Arabidopsis thaliana: one gene and its partners. The protein of the gene in region 3 interacts with the protein of the main gene of each other region in a pairwise test. Each region holds a gene or a part of one and is shown on either strand. Other genes may lie near its edges. The genes, in order: AT5G50915, STO and AT2G17410.

The links.
Region 1: the proteins of AT2G17410 (region 3) and AT5G50915 interact in a two-hybrid assay, tested with the Arabidopsis thaliana proteins (one large-scale study listed by BioGRID).
Region 2: the proteins of AT2G17410 (region 3) and STO interact in a two-hybrid assay, tested with the Arabidopsis thaliana proteins (one large-scale study listed by BioGRID).

Annotation. Positions count from the first base shown.
Region 1 is NC_003076.8:20,708,967-20,714,641, forward strand, and holds AT5G50915 (basic helix-loop-helix (bHLH) DNA-binding superfamily protein), read right to left. Parts: upstream 3,499-5,675; 5' UTR 3,287-3,498; coding exon 2,957-3,286; intron 2,862-2,956; coding exon 2,736-2,861; intron 2,627-2,735; coding exon 2,561-2,626; intron 2,452-2,560; coding exon 2,383-2,451; intron 2,292-2,382; coding exon 2,208-2,291; intron 2,102-2,207; coding exon 1,991-2,101; coding exon of another isoform or gene 1,970-1,990; exon of another isoform or gene 1,873-1,969; coding exon 1,798-1,872; 3' UTR 1,759-1,797; exon of another isoform or gene 1,625-1,758; 3' UTR 1,137-1,624; downstream 1-1,136. Other genes in the region: AT5G50910 (uncharacterized protein), read right to left, coding at 95-316.
Region 2 is NC_003070.9:1,827,165-1,832,129, forward strand, and holds STO (B-box zinc finger family protein), read right to left. Parts: upstream 2,820-4,965; 5' UTR 2,702-2,819; coding exon of another isoform or gene 2,602-2,701; 5' UTR 2,525-2,601; coding exon of another isoform or gene 2,496-2,524; coding exon 2,313-2,495; intron 2,144-2,312; coding exon 1,823-2,143; coding exon of another isoform or gene 1,793-1,822; exon of another isoform or gene 1,741-1,792; coding exon 1,498-1,740; 3' UTR 1,176-1,497; downstream 1-1,175. Other genes in the region: AT1G06030 (pfkB-like carbohydrate kinase family protein), read left to right, coding at 1-120, 210-542, 634-750, 832-966; AT1G06045 (uncharacterized protein), read left to right, coding at 2,358-2,524, 2,602-2,701; AT1G06050 (ENHANCED DISEASE RESISTANCE-like protein (DUF1336)), read right to left, coding at 3,562-4,503. UniProt on the Arabidopsis thaliana protein: Acts as a negative regulator of seedling photomorphogenesis and light-regulated inhibition of hypocotyl elongation. BBX24/STO and BBX25/STH function as transcriptional corepressors of HY5 activity, leading to the down-regulation of BBX22 expression.
Region 3 is NC_003071.7:7,556,304-7,564,497, forward strand, and holds AT2G17410 (ARID/BRIGHT DNA-binding domain-containing protein), read left to right. Parts: upstream 1-2,612; 5' UTR 2,613-2,849; intron 2,850-2,911; exon of another isoform or gene 2,912-3,153; intron 3,154-3,540; 5' UTR 3,541-3,565; coding exon 3,566-5,151; intron 5,152-5,247; coding exon 5,248-5,287; intron 5,288-5,470; coding exon 5,471-5,523; intron 5,524-5,626; coding exon 5,627-5,672; intron 5,673-5,884; coding exon 5,885-5,977; intron 5,978-6,083; coding exon 6,084-6,191; intron 6,192-6,313; coding exon 6,314-6,368; intron 6,369-6,459; coding exon 6,460-6,526; intron 6,527-6,593; coding exon of another isoform or gene 6,594-6,609; coding exon 6,610-6,676; intron 6,677-6,761; coding exon 6,762-6,812; intron 6,813-6,898; coding exon 6,899-6,991; intron 6,992-7,069; coding exon 7,070-7,171; 3' UTR 7,172-7,449; downstream 7,450-8,194. Other genes in the region: AKR2B (ankyrin repeat-containing 2B), read left to right, coding at 1-129, 227-375, 451-607, 733-825, 1,103-1,242, 1,341-1,440; NTRA (NADPH-dependent thioredoxin reductase A), read left to right, coding at 8,039-8,194.

The DNA of each region.
Region 1 (5,675 bases), on a different chromosome or scaffold from region 3:
TTTTTTGGCTGTATTAGTTGTGTAATAATGTACAACATTTTTTCTCACCTAGGCGTGTTATCAAATTGAATCGTGGACCCTTCGGTTAACTTACCAATCGTTCTCGCATAAAACGTGTCATCAGATATTTAGGGTTTGATTTTGATAGGTTTGATGATGCGAAGAATCGAAACGCACAGTTAAAGTTATAAGAGGTATACTTTGAAATAAACATATGAGGTGAAATGATGTGCATAAGATTTACGAAATGTGTTGTCCATTGATTCAGGATGAAACCGTTAGCAGATACAATTATGTGCCACGAGAAACTTAGCATTTCCTTTGTTATTGTATTTTATGATTGATCAATTTGCCGTATAATAACTTGGGACCAAATTCATATGCATTTTCGATTAAAAAAAAAAAAAAAAATCGTATTCATGACGAAACAATTGCAAGAAAATGATGACCCAATTCATCTAGCAACATATCATATTTATAATAATAAAAAAGGGAAAAAGTGAAAATTTTGAACCATAGTCCAATAACAAATCTTAGAAGAGATGATATCAATTAAATTTTACTTATTTAACTAAAATCTCAAATTGTTGAATTGTGAAGAGTAATCTCACAAATCATATACATCCTGACATATACATCAAGAAATGAAAATCATACAAAAAAATCTCTATTCTAGGTTCGTTAATAAAAGAGGTTATTAATATGTATGTAACTGAATAACGATAATATACATAAGGCTCTTGCATATAATTTATTTAGGTGTATTCAAATAAATCCTGCAATTTAGGATTGAATAACTCAAGGAATCGTTAATTACCACCTCATGAAAATGTTAGACAACCAACAAATCATATTTACAAATACAACAGTATCAAATATCTCTTTCAAGAATTTTGGTATATATATATTAGACATACTCTAAACTAAAATAAAACTTATAACATATGTATTGTGAAAGGACAGATACAGAGGAATGGGAGTTATCAATGTGTGACAAGTGAGAGCAGAAAAGCATGACCAAACTATTCAACAGGTACATTAAAGTGTTCTCAGGAAGGGAAATCTAATCTTTTCTTCTGACATAATTTTGTAGCCAACTAAATTGACAGGAAACGAATCATTTAGATTTATATACATGCATAAGTAGTTATCCCTCGAACATTTTTATATATATAGGAAATATAACATGAGTGTGTGGATAACAGTTTACATTTAAAAAGATTGGAGGAAAAAGGAAACTTTGGTGCAAGAAATCAGAAAGACAGAAGTGGTGAAAATACAAGAACTTATAAAATTAATGAGTGGATACATCAAAATTCAATTATATTAAAAAAAACAATGATTAAGCTGATAGGTCTTCTTAGTTTATATGTCTTTCTTTCCTCCATCGAATTTGCCTCTGCCTCATATACCATTCTCTTTTAGTATGAATTTATCCATTGATTTTATGTAATGATTATGTTGAAACTCTCGGGACAAATAGAGAAAATGAGCTTTTTAAGTCTCTAAAATACTTTATTTCTTCAAACTATATAAACGGAACAAATAAGTACATCCACTTTTACAAAACCTGGTTTACGTAGATTTTATTCCCTCCGTGCAAATGGGAGGAGATTAAATCAACCTACATCCAATAAACGATAGCAATAATTACGAACCCACATCAAGATTTTTAACAATTTCTATATGAGAAATGTTAAAAATAATTGTAATGATAATAATTAGGTAGTTGAAGAGACAAGACCAGAAGAAACTCACGAAAGCAGGCTTTTGTGTTTGTGTCGACATGTAATTTTATCAAGGGAAAGAACAGAAGTTGTTGTTGTTGAACCCACTTCTGTCTACAAAGTTCTCTCTTTCTTCTCCCTCTTCCTAAATTAAGCAACACATCACTATCTATTAATCTTCCAATAATTGATTCTTATCTATCTTCATTCTCCTTATTATAATTATTATCTGAAATAATCACTTATAGAAAAAAATGAAAAACCTGAACTTGTGCATGTGTGGGAACTACAGAATTATCCAATAGTGAAGGAAAGATAGGAGTAGTTGTTGGCATTGCATTGGTAAAAGACGTTCCTACTTCTGGAGAACCCATCTGTCCATCAAGAAAATATCTACTTAAGATCCATAACCGGCTTTTCGGGATACATGACTTGGTTTTATCGGTAACCGGATTAAGAGACATTGTGTAAATGAAATACCTCAGATTGAAGTATGAGGCCATCAAGGTCGGAGCCAAAGTCATAGACCACCGGACTTATAGAAGTTAGCTTCATTGAGAGAAACTAATGAAACAGAAAAAAAAGTTATGAATTAGAAACATTAGTTTTAACATAAAATGTTACAAGAAAAAACAAAATAATTAAGAAAATGCACCTCAACTTGAGTCTGCAAGGTCTGGACATAATTTATAATCTCATCCAACATGAGGGCCTTCCCTGTTACCTATTCGTTTTCAAGTCACATTTAATCAATTAATAACATTTTCTAGAAACATTATAAAATTAAACCATTATCAATTCTCCTAAATAAAATTGTCTCTACTCTAGCTGACCTTATCACAGCCCGGAACAAGGTTTTGCAGAGTCCTCATCCGCTCACTTATCTTTTCCCTTCTCACCTTTACATATATATATATATAAGTTTAATCAAATATTAATCAAAATGTATTTTATGAAAACATGATTAATGAAGAAAAATTAAAATGTTAAGAGAAATGACTAAAATACCCTCTCAGCAAGGCTGTGGCTATCAGTAGCTTGGCCTCTTCTAGCTCGAACGTGAATGTAATCTGTTGGAGGCTCTTCTTTGCTTCCTCTCTTCTGTTTTTTGCTTTTTCTTCCCTCTACTCCTTCCTAATTCACCAAACCACACCAACATTTATGTTTTTGACTATCCCAACCCCATCACATAAATGATAGATGATACATTACAAGTTGGTTTAACATACCTTGGAGTTATTACTGTTTCTGGCCTTCCTCCCACGGGTTTTTCCGGTGTTGGTGATGGCTGATGGTCCGTGGCTGAGCTGGTCGCAGGAAGAAGAACCGGTGGTTGCTGTTTTGGTTGTGTTGGCCAGTTTCTCTGAACCAGAGTTTTCAGTTTTGTCAACATTATATTCAAGAAAGGAAATGTCTTCAACTGTGGAAATGTTTGGTAGTGGATAGAGATGGTTTTGATCGATGAAACTAGTGAGATTAATGGAGGAGTGAGGTGTAGGGAAGAGAAGAGGATCAAGAAGGGAATGAGGGTAGTTTTGGAAATAAGAGAAAGTTGCCATTTTAAGAGTAGAAGCTTCTGAGTTCTCTTATCTTTGTCGATAGAGATAGTGTTTTTTCTTTGTGAGAGAAGATTAAGGACTTGAAGTGGTTTATATAAGGAATTGCTTTTGTATTCACTATTCAAAGAAACAAGGAGAAACAGAAGAAAGAGTATTTTAGGGACCACTTGTATATTGAAGATACCTTTTTATTTGAGAAGAAATTACTACCATATTTCGGCGGGTAATTTATGTTAGATGATATGTTTATATATAATATCGAGATTGTATATTTAAGTAATTGCATTGAGTAACCATGGAAGAGTAAAAATGAAAATTTAAGTAAATAATGTTGAATTTCAAAAATTAGGTGACTAATGATCTTTCATCATTCTTAGATACGTATGTTCTCTTTTTTTTTTTTTTTCAAATGCAAACTCATGGAATATTTGTCTATTTATTTTGTTTAGTTTTATTACTCTATGGGTATCATGATATTTTAGAAAATTTGTTTCAAATTACTTTATGTAAGAACTTATAATTTTAAATTTTGTTGTAATTTGTATTCTCCATAGTTTTATGTTATTTAGAGAATAAATTATGTTTTGAAATATAAGATTATAAATACTACATAATTTGTAATACAACCATGTTGTAAAACTAAACAAGACAAATACTGATCAATATATCATTTAATTAAGACTTTTTTTATAAGAATATAATAGCGCATAACGTGAAAACAATAAATGTACTATAAAAAGAAGTAATCAACTAAACCCATTAAATGAACGAAAGAACGACCAACGTGGGCAGTCGAACTCGAGGAAAATGTTCTCTAAAACCAATTGATGTATTTGTATTGACCATCAACTACACTCACGTAAGCATTCAATATTGTCGCCCTAACAACGAACTATATTTAGAAATGCCCTAAAGCTATGGCTTGTTTTACTTTATAAGAGGGTCGGACCTATAATACACATATCAAAAAAGTTAATGTACACCAAAAGAGCAATATTTATCATTTATCAATCAATTTTACTTTATCAGATTGCAGAACCTTTGCCACAGCTAATATATAGATCAATATATAGGCACAGTTTAACGAGTCAGATATAATTAAAGACTAGATAGTAGAGAGATATATTACCCTATCCAAAATACTGTACATTTAGAACTAAATATGTAATGCCGCGTGATCTTCTCAATAATAATCTCTATGTGGATACCATAATACTACAAACTTTTGTCCATTTTTGTTAGAGAAAATAAAAACTTTTGTCCATTTCCCACTTTGGATCGACATAGGAAATTTCCTTTTCAGAAAAGGACAAAAGAAAAAAAATTGTGAATAAGGTGTGAAGTCCAATCCCATGATACCGTTGGGTATGCATAGAAGACAAAAAATCATAAATCTCCATTTTGTTTTGATATAATCGGGTACTCTTATAGTAATAATCGAAAAAACGAGTACTTGACCATCAAAATTTATCACAATCCATGTCCTTAATTATTTAGACTATTATAATTCCTTTCTTCTATTTATAAATTATTATTATGACACGTACTTAACAAAAACATTAAGCGAATCTACGATTAATTAATTATCAATTGTATACGTACGAATACGATCTATGGACTTTCTATTATGATTTTCTTTTTGAGATCAAGTTTAGAGCAGAAAGAAAACATGCTAATTAGGAACCAAGAAAACATTATGATTGTTCTTTTGGACATAATTTACATGTCAAAGGTCCGCATGAGCTTGTAATTAATTATCATAACCCGAAGATGATAGAGATTATGCACGTTTCATCCGGATGAGGAATAAACATTTATTGGCATCATATTTTCTTCACCAATATCTCTCTTTTGCTTCTTTTCAAATCAGGGTACTTGCACAAAACCTTTATTCTTTATCTAACGCATTTAATTAGCGGCTGATCTATTATTTGTACTGTGTTTTGAATATTCAAGATCACATTTAAAGAAAAGAATAAGTGCACGAGACTAATTACGAAAGGATGATATGAAAATGAATCTTGAATTACGAGATAGATTAGGTACATTACTTCACTCTAAGAAATTGACTCAAAGTTTTCTTCTACCATCCTATATCCCAAAACATTACTTACAAATGCAAAGAAACAACTTCCATTTTACGGCGTTTTCTGGCCGATAAGTCTAGTGAATTATGTGACGATTGTAAGATATATGAAGTAAGTTAGGTTGATCTCATAACTGTTATAGATCTCTATTAATCACTTCGTTTATTTAGCTTAATCTCATTATATTTGTTATTCAAATATGTTGCATCTCTATATGTTTTCTTCTCTATTATCAAAACAGTTTTATGTCCTTCTACCATATTATTTCCATTTTGTTTAGTGAAGTATTGATTTTCTCTACT
Region 2 (4,965 bases), on a different chromosome or scaffold from region 3:
ACCGCACTCGCTTTTGTGACTCTGCGTTCTGACGGAGAACGAGAGTTTATGTTTTACCGGAATCCCAGCGCCGATATGCTTCTCCGGCCAGATGAACTCAACCTCGAACTAATCAGATCCGTACGTAAAATCTTTATGATCTCTGTTTTCAAGATTTCAAGATTTTACTTGTTTTGGAGATTTGATGAATATTTTTCTTTATTTGGCAGGCGAAAGTGTTTCACTATGGATCAATAAGTTTGATTACAGAGCCATGTAGATCAGCTCACATGAAGGCGATGGAGGTGGCGAAAGAAGCTGGAGCTCTTCTTTCCTACGATCCAAACCTCAGGGAACCTCTGTGGCCATCCCCTGAAGAAGCTAGGAAACAGATCATGAGTATCTGGGACAAGGCTGACATTATTAAGGTCAGTGACGTCGAGCTTGAGTTCTTGACAGGAAACAAAACGATTGATGATGAGACAGCTATGTCTCTGTGGCATCCTAATTTGAAGCTCTTGCTTGTTACACTTGGCGAAAATGGATGTCGTTACTACACTAAGGTAATGTACAACAAACATTCATGTGGATTCATCATCATCATGATGATCTTGGTGTGTGATTTTGATTGATGTTCTCTTGACTCTTGTGTAGGATTTCCATGGATCTGTTGAAACTTTCCATGTTGACGCTGTGGATACTACTGGAGCTGGTGATTCTTTTGTTGGCGCGCTTCTAAACCAGATTGTTGATGATCAATCTGTACTCGAGGTTAACTCCCATTGATATTGTGTGTCTATTCAATCAACTGAATATTGTTGATGATATTTACTGATTTTTCTCGTTTCTTAGGAGGAAGAGAGATTGAGAAAAGTGCTGAGATTTGCAAACGCTTGTGGAGCAATCACGACGACTAAAAAGGGAGCCATTCCAGCTCTTCCTACAGATTGTGAAGCTCTCAGTTTTCTTAAGATACAAGTAGAATAGTAAAACTTCTCTTCGAGTCCAGAATTCTCCTTGTCTATTGTAATAATCTGTTCTGGATTCTTCCTGATGATTCTGATCATTTGTAATGTTTTTTTTTTTTGGTTCTCTCTCTGTCTTTTCTTTTTCTTCTTCATTGTATTGAATAAAACAGACTTGTGACTTCTGAGCTTTTCTTGCTAATAGAAAACAAAGAGTTTTTCGTAGTTGTTTGGAACCGTAAATTGCATTGAGGATTGTTTCTCAAGGCTTTGAAAACAGAGTAATAATCAGGAACAAACAAAAAAAAACCAAGAAAGAACAGAGAGAACACATTTAGTATCAAGTTTGTAGCATCAAAGCATTAAGCATAGACCATGTTCAAGAGGTATGAACAAAACTCAAACACAGACATTTGTTATAAGCTCTCAACATATCTTACACAACTTAAGACAAAACTAAAATGTATATGACATTAACTCCACACATGCAGATAGGTTTCTTGTTTGTTCTTTTACATTGAAGAATGTCTACACATAGATTACATATAGCTTTTTAGCCAAGATCAGGGACAATGAAGTGTTCCTCATCATCATCATCATATCTGGTCTCAAACCTCGGCTTCTTGTGTGAAACATTTGACTTCATAGGTTTGTATGAATGAACATGACCTAAATGCGAAACAGAAAGCTCAGGAACTTCAGCTGCAGGAAGAGCCTTGTCATTAATCTGATCACCGAAGAATCCCATGTCTGAAAACCAATCCAACTCCCCTGCCCCAAGATCAAGCTGTCCTTTCTGCTCAATTTAAACCAAGAAGTCAATAAAAGCTTCTTGCAAAGAAAGTGATCTAACATTGAATCTCAATTCTCATCACTACCTTGTCGGTGGATTCAATATCAGAGAAGTGAAAGAAATCGTCAACAGCCCAGGGAAGTGGAGTAGCAGAAGAAGGTTGTTGTTGCTGCTGGCTTGTGGATTTAGCAGGAATCTGATTAGCCTTCTGTTGGTTGTTGGAAGGCTCAGGTTGATTCTTCTCAATTTCTTTACTACATATAGTTGAGGTCAGAGCTACTTTGATCCCAGTGGCTAAGAACCTCTGGTGATTAGCAGATCGAGAATTAGCCACGTGGATGGATTCATCGCAGTCCCTGCAAAGCAGAGCTCTATCCTCTACACAGAAAATGAAAGCTGCCTTCTCCTACAAGTCATAAGAACATAATGAGCAAACCCTAGTCTTAAACAACAAGGCATACATACAACAGTTGCTACAAGATCTATAAAATCACAACTTTGCAACAGAGCAGATTCAAACTAACGAATCCATAAAATATTTGACAAGATCTAATGAGATCTGTAGAGAAACTTACTTGGCAGATATCGCAACGAGGGAATTTGGTGGAGAGGGAATTAAGATGAAGACGTTGGTGCTTGCTAGCGAGTTTGTTAGCGGCGTGAATCTCGATGTCGCATTGAGGACAGAGAGCAGCTTCGTCGGCGCAACAAATCACCGTCGCCGGAGCTTTCTCACACACATCACACTGTATCTTCATCACCGGATACAAGAAACCAAAATATCTAGGTTTCTCAAGAAGGAAACAGAATGCTTAAAATGAAGGGTTTATTGCTAGTCTGGCTTCTCTTAGAATAGCTTAGCAGAAGCGTAGGTTCAGAGAAAGAGCTTAGAGAAGATGAAAGAACAAAGAGGGAGAGAGTGTTTTGTGGGGAACAAGTAGGTGGGATGAGCAATTGGTTGTGAGTGAAAGAGAGAAGATAAGGATTTGATGAATCTTGCTTGTTGCTTTGTTTTCATTATTCTGCGTATCAAAAGGAAACACTCTGCTTCTTACAGCAAGGTCTTGCGGGTCCCACTCTTTTTCTGTGGCTCTCCTTCTTCCTCTCGTCATCTCTCCTACCTTTAGATATTTTTATTATATTCACACTTTGCTATTTTATATTCTTGTTATTTTCTCACGTAGTAGAGATTTGTGTTTTGTTTACTAATCTAGTCAAAACACATTAATTTTGACTAATAAACTAACTTCAATAATTCCACCACCACTAGACTTTTACGCTCCTTTTATATGATATGCTCGAATTTCAAGTCTCGTGAACTTTTACGATTTCAAGAAAGATTTGTATACAAAAATGGGCTTCATCTAGAAAGAAAGAGTTGGGTAATGGTATTACTCAAATCAGAGAATATTACACGACTACACGTAATCTTGAAAATGACATGTGAATTGATTCCTTGGAATGACGACATGTTATGTTAATATGTACCATTCGATCAGATTTTTCTTCTTCTTTCACTTTTTCGTTTTCTCAATCATAAAAACGATTAATGCAATCATTAAAAATATACTGGCATGTTAACTAACAAAGAAATGAATGCTTAGCCCGTTCGAGAAAAAGAATGATCCTAAAAGACACCAATACAAAATTAGGCATGGTTGGTCACAAGAATTGTTGTTGGATATCACATATCCATCCATATTAGTAAAAACCAATCTATACATCTGTGGTTTTTTTAAAGAATTGACAAGTTTTTGTTTCTGTTTTTTGGTAATGAAATCGAACAAATTCAAAGAATTGTGAAGTTAATAACTCCCAAAACACTTACTGCTTCTGTACATGTTCATCCTTCTGGATGTCCCCATGAGAAGTATTGTTCATGTTGGCCGTATCTTGATTAAGCAGATTAGAGAATCCATTTCCAATCGATTTCCACCAGCTCGACCGCTCTGAGGTAGTTTGATCCCACTGGTCATTACTGGTGCTTGAGGACAGTTCGATAGATGTGGCTGACTCGGTCTGCAGCTCAGAGAATCTCACAGCTCCTAGTAGCTTTTCTGGAAGCTCTGCTTCGGTCTGACTCTCAATGAGGAACGCAAGATCAACTGTCAATGTAGTAACGTAGCCAAATGCGAGATGAACAATGGCACTAGCGACCATTGAAGAACCAATATCGACATCAATCTCCACAAAGTTTTCCCCTGAAACATATTTGCAAGAGAGTGCACGTCCAATCACACAGATCGCTTGCTCTCCAACAGCTTTTCTAACAATCCAAGGGCCTTTGACAATGTTTGCAATCAGTTTAAGCCTCGATTTCTTGAACCCATCATCTCCTTTCAAAAACCGATCCATCAGGGAGCCTTCAAGGATAGGCTCTGTGGTAACAAAGTAAGCCACAGCACTGTAATTGTCTTTGTGAGGAAGCTGGAGATTGAATGCCCAGACAAAAGGCTTAGTTCCATCTTTTTGAAACTCCTCATCGATAACTTTCCTGATTCGGCTGCTTGGATAACTCAGGATCTCAGAAAGCTTTTTAGGACCTTTAATCCAATCAAAACCCAGAGGCTTTAGAAGGAAATCACCAGCAGGTATCTTAACTTTGTCAGAGAAATACTTTGGTCCTCTAACCATAAATGTGTCAGGAGATGGCGTCGTCCAACCATTTTTGCAGTTGTCGTCTGGCTTAAGACATGGAACAGCTCCCTCTAATTTCACTCTCTTAATCCATTCTGGCTCAGTTTCCTCACCAACAGAGCCAGCCATATCTTGCGAAAACCTGCAACACAGAGCTTAAATCCTTGAGTAAAACTGAGTGTGGAAAACAATCTCATGGATTCTACTTAGTGAATATAGCAAACAAGAATATGCCATCAAGAAGACCAAAACATGTGATCAGAAAACAGAACCATGTATGTCTGAGGCTCTATCTATTCCTCATCTAATTTCCCATAGGATTCATACTATGCCACAAGAACTTTTTAAAAGAAAAGAGTGAAACAAAAATTGCTCAAAGAAACAAAAACTAGGAGCTGGTAACTCCGGTTCAAGTCATAGCTACACCGGAAACTAGAATAAAGTTAGTAAATTGACTCAAATTCTGAGTAATGACATCAAAATTCAGCATACACGATTCTGAGATTTTCTACAAACCTAAGCCCTAGATTATCTGAAATAACATGCATACCATTCAATAGACAAAGCACAGAGACAGAGCCCAGATAATTG
Region 3 (8,194 bases):
CCAACCGGATCTCATGAAGGAGGTCTACCTAACTTTGATCCACAACAGTATATGCAGACAATGCAGCAGGTTATGGAGAATCCTGAGTTTAGAACAATGGCTGAGCGTCTTGGTAACGCTTTGGTGCAGGTACCTTTAATACAAGCTCTTTCGGATCTTCTTGTTATTATTAGTTAGTCAATACTTGAGGTGTGATCATGACATTGAATCTCTGTTTGGTGTTTAGGATCCACAAATGTCTCCCTTTTTGGAGGCTCTTGGTAACCCTGCAGCATCAGAGCAGTTTGCAGAGCGTATGGCGCAAATGAAAGAAGATCCTGAATTGAAACCTATACTAGCTGAGATTGATGCTGGTGGTCCTTCTGCTATGATGAAGTAAGCATGCCATTATTTGCTATAAATTATTAGGTTTACTTGTGTTCATGGCTAATAGTTGATTACTGGTGTTAGGTACTGGAATGATAAAGATGTGTTGGCAAAGCTGGGTGAAGCAATGGGTATAGCTGTTGGAGCAGACCAGACTGTTGCAGCTGAACCTGAAGAGGCCGAAGAAGGGGAAGAGGAAGAGTCTATTGTTCACCAGACCGCTAGTCTTGGTGATGTCGAGGTAAACTGATTCATACACTGTTAGTCTCTCGTGTTTCTGACGGTCTATATTTTATACTTAAGTCGGAATCATTGATCGAGGTTAGCTCATAAACTCTCTGTGCATTGATTTCCTGAACCAACCAGGGTTTGAAAGCTGCCTTGGCATCTGGTGGGAACAAAGATGAAGAAGACTCTGAAGGAAGGACTGCTTTGCATTTTGCATGTGGATACGGCGAGGTATGTCAACGTCTCAACAAGCCTTAACAAAAAAAACTGTCGAAATGTCACTATCACAGAATCATGGAAGGCAGTATATACTACCAATATTTACTAGCATCATGCACTTGATGGATAAGCAGCTTCGGTTTCACTTAGTAGATTATTACACAATTATCTGTAGCATTCTTTACAAAGGAAATTGACAGTTGCCATTATTACATCTGCAATTAGAAGTTGTTATAAAAGCTTAATCCGAAGTTTGAACCCAGCTGACCTAGGTTGAGTTTGTATGTAGGTGAGATGTGCTCAGGTTCTTCTGGATGCTGGAGCAAATGCAAATGCGATTGACAAAAACAAGAACACACCATTGCACTATGCTGCTGGTTATGGAAGGAAAGAGTGTGTAAGCCTCCTCCTAGAGAATGGTGCTGCAGTGTAAGTTTGCAACAACAAGAACACAAATTCGATTTCCAAACAACTTAGTAATGGTTATATAAGACTCTTTTAAGTGTCGTTTCATTTTCTGTTTGCAGAACTCAGCAAAACATGGACAATAAAAATCCCATTGATGTGGCCAGGCTAAACAATCAGCTAGATGTGGTGAAACTACTTGAGAAGGACGCTTTCCTCTGAGCTGCTTTGACTCTTGAAGGATATGTTTCTTCTCTGTCATGTAATAGTGTCACAGAGTCTGATTGCAACCTTGTCTTCTGTGGGGGTTTTCATCATTAAATCTGGAAAAAAAAGATGGAGAAAATGGATGTTTATTATGGTTTTGTAATGAATTATTTTCTTCTTGAATTGGTTTTTTCTTTTGGCTCTTAAAGTCTTTTTTGTCCTTCTTTGTGTGCCACAGGGCTTTAGTGTTGCAATCACAAAGAAAAAACCCTTAAACTGTTATATTCGAGAAGGAATAGACTGTTTAATCAAATCGGTGATAAGATAATTTGGAGATTTTTAACATGCCAACCGTAAATTAGAATGAAGAGTAGAAAGCCCATAGAGGATAACGATACTAATAGATGAGATTTGTACATAAGTAATGTGCAGAATGGAAGTCGATAGAATGAAATGCAAAAGTGAACTCAAGAACAGCAAAGATGATAAAACTTGGACCTCAAATCATCTTTGGCTCTTTGCTGTTTCTTTTGTTTTCTCTCTTGAAAGTATTATTGAAAAAACAGTAAAAAAAAACTCAAAATTGAGGTTACTTCAATTTAACAATAGTAAAATCATCAACACAATTTTTTTTTTTAAAGACATCTTAATTTTCTAAAATGGATATACAAAATCATATCTTGCACCTCGGAATTTGGTCCACCTTAGACGTTTTTAGTGGCAAAAATTCCCGGATTTATGTGGATTCCAATATTAGTCTAGGTTTCGGCATAGAATTCTCCTGGTTAATTAAAAATATGTATACAATGTTATAATTTAATCAAACCAACAAAATAAAAAGAGTTTGTAAAAATTTCAAAATAGTTCTTTCAAATAAATTCTGAACAGTCTTTTAAATTTATTTTTAGTGTTTAGTGTGTCATATGTCATATGTATACAAAAACTTAATTTAAAATTTGTTATTTTGAGTGAGAGTTTTAACTGTAAAACTAAATATACGATTTTACAAAAAGTAATATAAATAAATTAAGCATTATTTGGAAAATAATGTAAAGCTGATAATTATATTCCTAATTTTAAATCCATATTGTTTCCTTAAAGAATATTTCAATATAATTGCAAAAAGAAAAGAAAGGAAATATATCTTCCGACAATATTATCTGATGCGCGTGAAATAGACTATCAGGCCAAGATTAGGTCAAAAAGCCCGTGAGCCCAAAAACCTGAGAAAACCCGGTTCAAATTGCAAACCCTCGATTTCATTTCTCCAATTCGATAGACGCTGGGTAAAAAAATTCGGAGGACGACGAAAGAGAAAACGAGTGTTTCAGTCACTGCCCCACGGAGCTCTCGGAAATTTGTCTTCCCCTTGTCGTCGTCTCCCTATCTACTGCTTCTTCTTCGTTTTCGTCTTCTTTATCAAGGTGCGCTTTAGCTTCTCAACGCCGTTTGATTTTTAGAATTTCGATTTTTTTTTTTTTTTCTTCTAGTTCTTGAATCAATCCGGAATTTGGCGACTATGTTGCTTCGTTTGTAAATCGTATTCTCCTGTTTAGAAATCTTCAATTGACTGTGTTATAGGAACAATTTAAATCTCAATTTCAATGTCTCTTTTAGTCACCTTCGTGTAGTAATTTGCTTTTGAATTACTGTTAATGAATCTCAAAAAATGGATTTTATAATTTGGGAAAAGGGGCTTCTGGGTTTAATTAAAGAACACGAGATAAGGTCTGGTTTTTTCTTTTCATTTCTTTGTGTGTGTTTTTGGTTTCTTTGATTTTCTTCTGGGTTATGGTCCGTTTGAGTCTGGTGATAGTTAGTTGGCAACCAATTTTTATTGATCTATTACAATCGAGAACACAAAACTAAACCCTAAGAAAGAAGTACATAAAGTTGTTGAAAAGATCTCGTTAACTCTCCCAAAGTCCTAGGGCTTTCACACAACCAGTGATTAAATAACCTTTGAGCTGTTCTCCTTCCCACACTTTATATGTGTGTTTGTGGTTTGTCTAATTTGTGAGGAGCTTCTATGAAACCTCTGGTTATTTTAATTGTTTTCTGCAATTCCTGATTGATATGTTTATATATATTTCTTGTATTTGTGAATTTGTGTAGGAATGCTGTTTAATTGGAATCAACAATGGAGAATTTGACGGAAATAGAATCAACGATGGAGAGTTTAACGGAAATGGAGAGTGAGAGAGTTGAACAGGGTACCGATAAGGAAATTGGAAGTGGAGAGAAAAGGCAGGATGATGTAAAGGAAACGGAGAATGAGAATTCTGGAGAGAGAGTAGGAGAGGAAGCTCCTGTCAGGGAACATGAAGATTCTCCATGTCTCATTGTTATTGAAGAAGGTACTTCCCTAGCTTCCCTTGAGGAGGTGACCAATGCTGATGATCTGCCGAAGATTGATGATGAGAAGAATTCCCAATTTGAAACAAGCCCGCATCCAAGTCCTTCTCCTTCAGTAGCTTTAGACACTGAAGAAGGGTTAATCAACCCTACTGCAGAAGACACTGTAGAAGAGAACATAGTGTCTAGCGAAGTAAGTTCGGATATCTTGAAAGATGACGGAGATGCCGTCGAGGTTGACAGAGATACTGCAGAAGTCCAGGAAGAAACGGCCAACATACCTGAATCCAAACTCTCGGAGGACACAGGATCACCTCATCATCATGCTGATATTCTGATGGTGCAGGAAAAAGCTGCAGAAGAACATGACATGATAGCCTCTGGAGACCATGAAGAATTTCCAGTCAATCCTGATAACAAACACTCTGAAGAAAATCAGTCACCACATCATCATGCTAATAATGTGATGGAGCAGGACCAAGCTGCAGAAGAACGTGAGATCATATCCCCAGGAGAACATAAGGAAATTCCAGCCAATCCTGATACTAAAGTTGTTGAGGAGAACAATGACAGGATAGATGAGGGTGAGGCTAACAATTTGAATTTGGCTGGCGATGGAAGTGGAGCAGTCGATCATGATTACTTGACCAAAACGGAGCTGGACAAAGTGCTAGAGGTGCCTGGTTCTGAGACCATATCAAAACTGGAGGATAGGCCATCTGAGCATCTCTCAGAAACCTCAATGAACGTGGAAAAAGAACTAGAAATGCCTGCCGTTGAAATTTTGCCAGACAATGACAAAAACTCTGATGTGTTGGCAGTTGGAGTTTCTGGAGACAGTGACAATGTGGTATCTGTCTTGCCCGCTTCCCAAACTTCCTCTGATCGTGATGAAGGAATGATTACAGTTGATGCTGAACCTACGGAAGACATGAAACTTGATGTTCCAGATTCTAAATTGGTTACTGATACTACTGTTGACTCTACTAATAACAAGGATGCCCATGTTGAGGCTAATACTGAAAGGCAAGATAATTCTAGTGCACTTGTGCTAAATGATGCAAATAATGAAAGTGCACCAGTGAAACGTGTACCTGGTCCTTATGTTGCATCTTCCAATATAAAGTCTGAAGCGCGGGGTAGTGGAGATTTGAACAATGGAGTACATAAAATAGTTCGGACCCCACCTGTCTTTGATGGGACCATGCGCGCAAAGCGCTCTTTCCTCTTGGATGATGCGTCTGATGGTAATGAATCTGGAACGGAAGAGGATCAATCTGCTTTTATGAAAGAATTGGATAGTTTTTTTAGAGAGCGAAACATGGATTTCAAACCTCCAAAATTTTACGGGGAGGGACTGAACTGCCTCAAGTAAGCTTGATACCCATCATTATTTGGTCACTTTACTGTGTTACATTTTAAAATTTTCAGCAGGAGCTGATATCTAATCAATTTCTTTGGCACAAGGTTGTGGAGAGCTGTAACTAGATTGGGCGGATATGACAAGGTACGGGTCACTGTGAATACGCCTGTTGAATGTCACAGCATCTTTTTTGACAAGCAAATGTGACTTCGGCTTTTCATCTTTTGTTCCATCCTGGCTTACTTGCATGCGTACTGTTGTTCATGATCTAGCAGTGGTGCTTTTGGTGATTTTCTATGATTATTATATGCTTTTTATACTGGATAGGTTACTGGAAGCAAATTATGGCGGCAAGTGGGAGAGTCTTTCAGGCCCCCAAAGTAAGAAGAATGCTTTTCTTATTAGTGGTTTGTCTTAGAAATTTTGGGAAATCATGTGGATATTTTTAAGAATTACCCTCTAATTGGTCAATTGTTTGTTCAGGACATGTACAACAGTATCATGGACTTTCCGAGGTTTCTACGAAAAGGTGAGACTATATTCACCACCTTTTCCTCTCTCTGCTTTTGGTTCGTCTATGTGACTTTTGTATACACTGGCATGGGACTGGGACTCTATGTATCAACCCTTCTGAGAAATAATTGAAATGATTGAACAGTGAACAACTGTGAATCATCTTGAGATATGTTTTCCTTAAGATACAGTAACATCTTGTAACATTATAGTTTCTTCATTTTTCAGGCTCTTCTTGAATATGAGCGGCATAAAGTTAGTGAAGGTGAACTTCAGATACCCCTTCCGTTGGAACTAGAACCGATGAATATTGATAATCAGGTAAAATTGAGAAAACCATATCATGTGTCTGTAGTTTTTGTTTGATCTTCTTCTTCTGATTAATGTCAGTGTTTTAACTTAACCCACTGCCTTGTTTCTACACTAGGCGTCTGGATCAGGGAGAGCAAGGAGAGATGCAGCATCACGTGCTATGCAAGGTTGGCATTCACAGCGTCTTAATGGTAACGGTGAAGTTAGTGACCCTGCAATCAAGGTCCGGTAGAATCTTTTTATATGTTTCATTTTACATTCACACTAGATCTCTCGTTTTTTTTTTGTCAAACATTTAATCTATATCTCATAGTCTGAACGAACATACTGTTTTGTAATTAATAGGATAAGAACTTAGTTCTTCATCAAAAGCGCGAAAAACAGATTGGAACCACCCCTGGTATGAGTTCTGTTTGATGAAGAAGTGTTGTTCTCATTTTTATTTTGAAACTTTGACATGGGTTATCACTTACATCTCACAATGTCATCAGGTTTGCTCAAACGTAAGAGGGCTGCTGAACATGGTGCAAAAAATGCCATCCATGTATCTAAATCTATGTACGATTTTTGGCTTTGTGGTCTGGTTTTCAATGCGTGATAATTCACATTTGAATTCTGATTCCAGTTGTTGTTTTTCCTAGGTTGGATGTGACTGTTGTTGATGTTGGACCACCAGCTGACTGGGTGAAGATTAACGTACAGAGAACGGTAAAATCAATTGCCACTTTCTTAAAAACCTGAGCAATCACTTTCTGGTTTTACATATATTAATAAACTCTTCCACTATCTGCAGCAAGATTGCTTTGAGGTGTATGCATTAGTCCCAGGATTAGTCCGTGAAGAGGTAAGCTCTCAAATCTCGTTGTGTTTACATATGGATCCTAAGATTGAGTTTAGCACTCAGTTTTTGTCTTGGCAACAATAATACAGGTCCGAGTCCAATCAGATCCGGCTGGGCGGTTAGTAATAAGTGGCGAACCCGAGAACCCTATGAATCCTTGGGGAGCTACTCCTTTCAAAAAGGTAAATGCTGGTTACATGATTTTTCAGCTTACACGTAGAATGTTGAATGACATTTTCAAACCTCCATTGAAACTGCAGGTGGTAAGTTTACCAACGAGAATCGATCCGCATCACACATCGGCTGTGGTAACCCTAAACGGGCAGTTATTTGTTCGTGTGCCTCTGGAGCAATTGGAGTAGAAACATTTACAGTTTAACAAAGCCTTTGAAGATCTGAAAGAGAGAAGATTGTTAGAAGTAGTTGTTGAGAGTATTTTGTTTGTATATTATGAGAGATTAAGCACAACATGAGAAGAGCCTTTAGGAATCCTTAATTAGGCCATCTAGTTTTTATTGTCTCTCCTCTCTTTGATTAGATTCTTCTTCTAAGTGTCATCACTATTGATTTGTTGTAGCACCAAACTTCTTTAAACCTTTCTATTAAGAACACACAAATCTACAACCTTTTTATTTTTTTTAATTGTTTATGTGATTTGTTTTCTGTGGCAGTGAATTTTTTATATTATCAACTTATCATGTTAGCTCAAGATTGCATCTCAATTTGTACTTATCTTAGTGGTAATTAGAAAAAAAAACAAAATTAGGCTACAATAGTTTTGTTTGTTTGTTTGTTTAGGTGTTAGGGATAGGGTTTATTTTTTCCGAAGTTTATTAGTGTTTACTATTTAGAGTTTAATGTTTCCAAAATTTTATGGTTTAATTTATACTCTCAGATTAGGTTAAACATTTTTATTTTTAAAAATCTATAATATTTTTCTAATTTTACTTTAAATTGTAGACTAAATAATTGATTCAGCCTTATATTATATCTTAAACTTTGCAAGAATCACTTTGGCTTGTAATGAAATGAAATCCACTGTTTTCATATTCAAAGTGATTCTAGTCTTGTATTAACTATTAAATATTCCAATCTTTAACAACAAAGAAAACTATAATATTCAAAGCCATGTATATAATAATGGACATGGTCCAATAATTTGGCAATTTAAAAAAATATTAAAGAGAAAAGTAGATTCAAATAAAGTGGTCTATATTTCAAATTGCAAAATGTGTTGGATCTCAATGAGCCAGTCAAGATTCATTATAAAGTCTTTATTTAGCACAGCAGGAGGTTTCTTACTTGGATCTGCTCTCTCAAATCCGCCGTCTCTAGCCACCGCGTTTTCTTCTTCTTCCTCGTCCTCCTCCGCCGCCGCCGCCGTC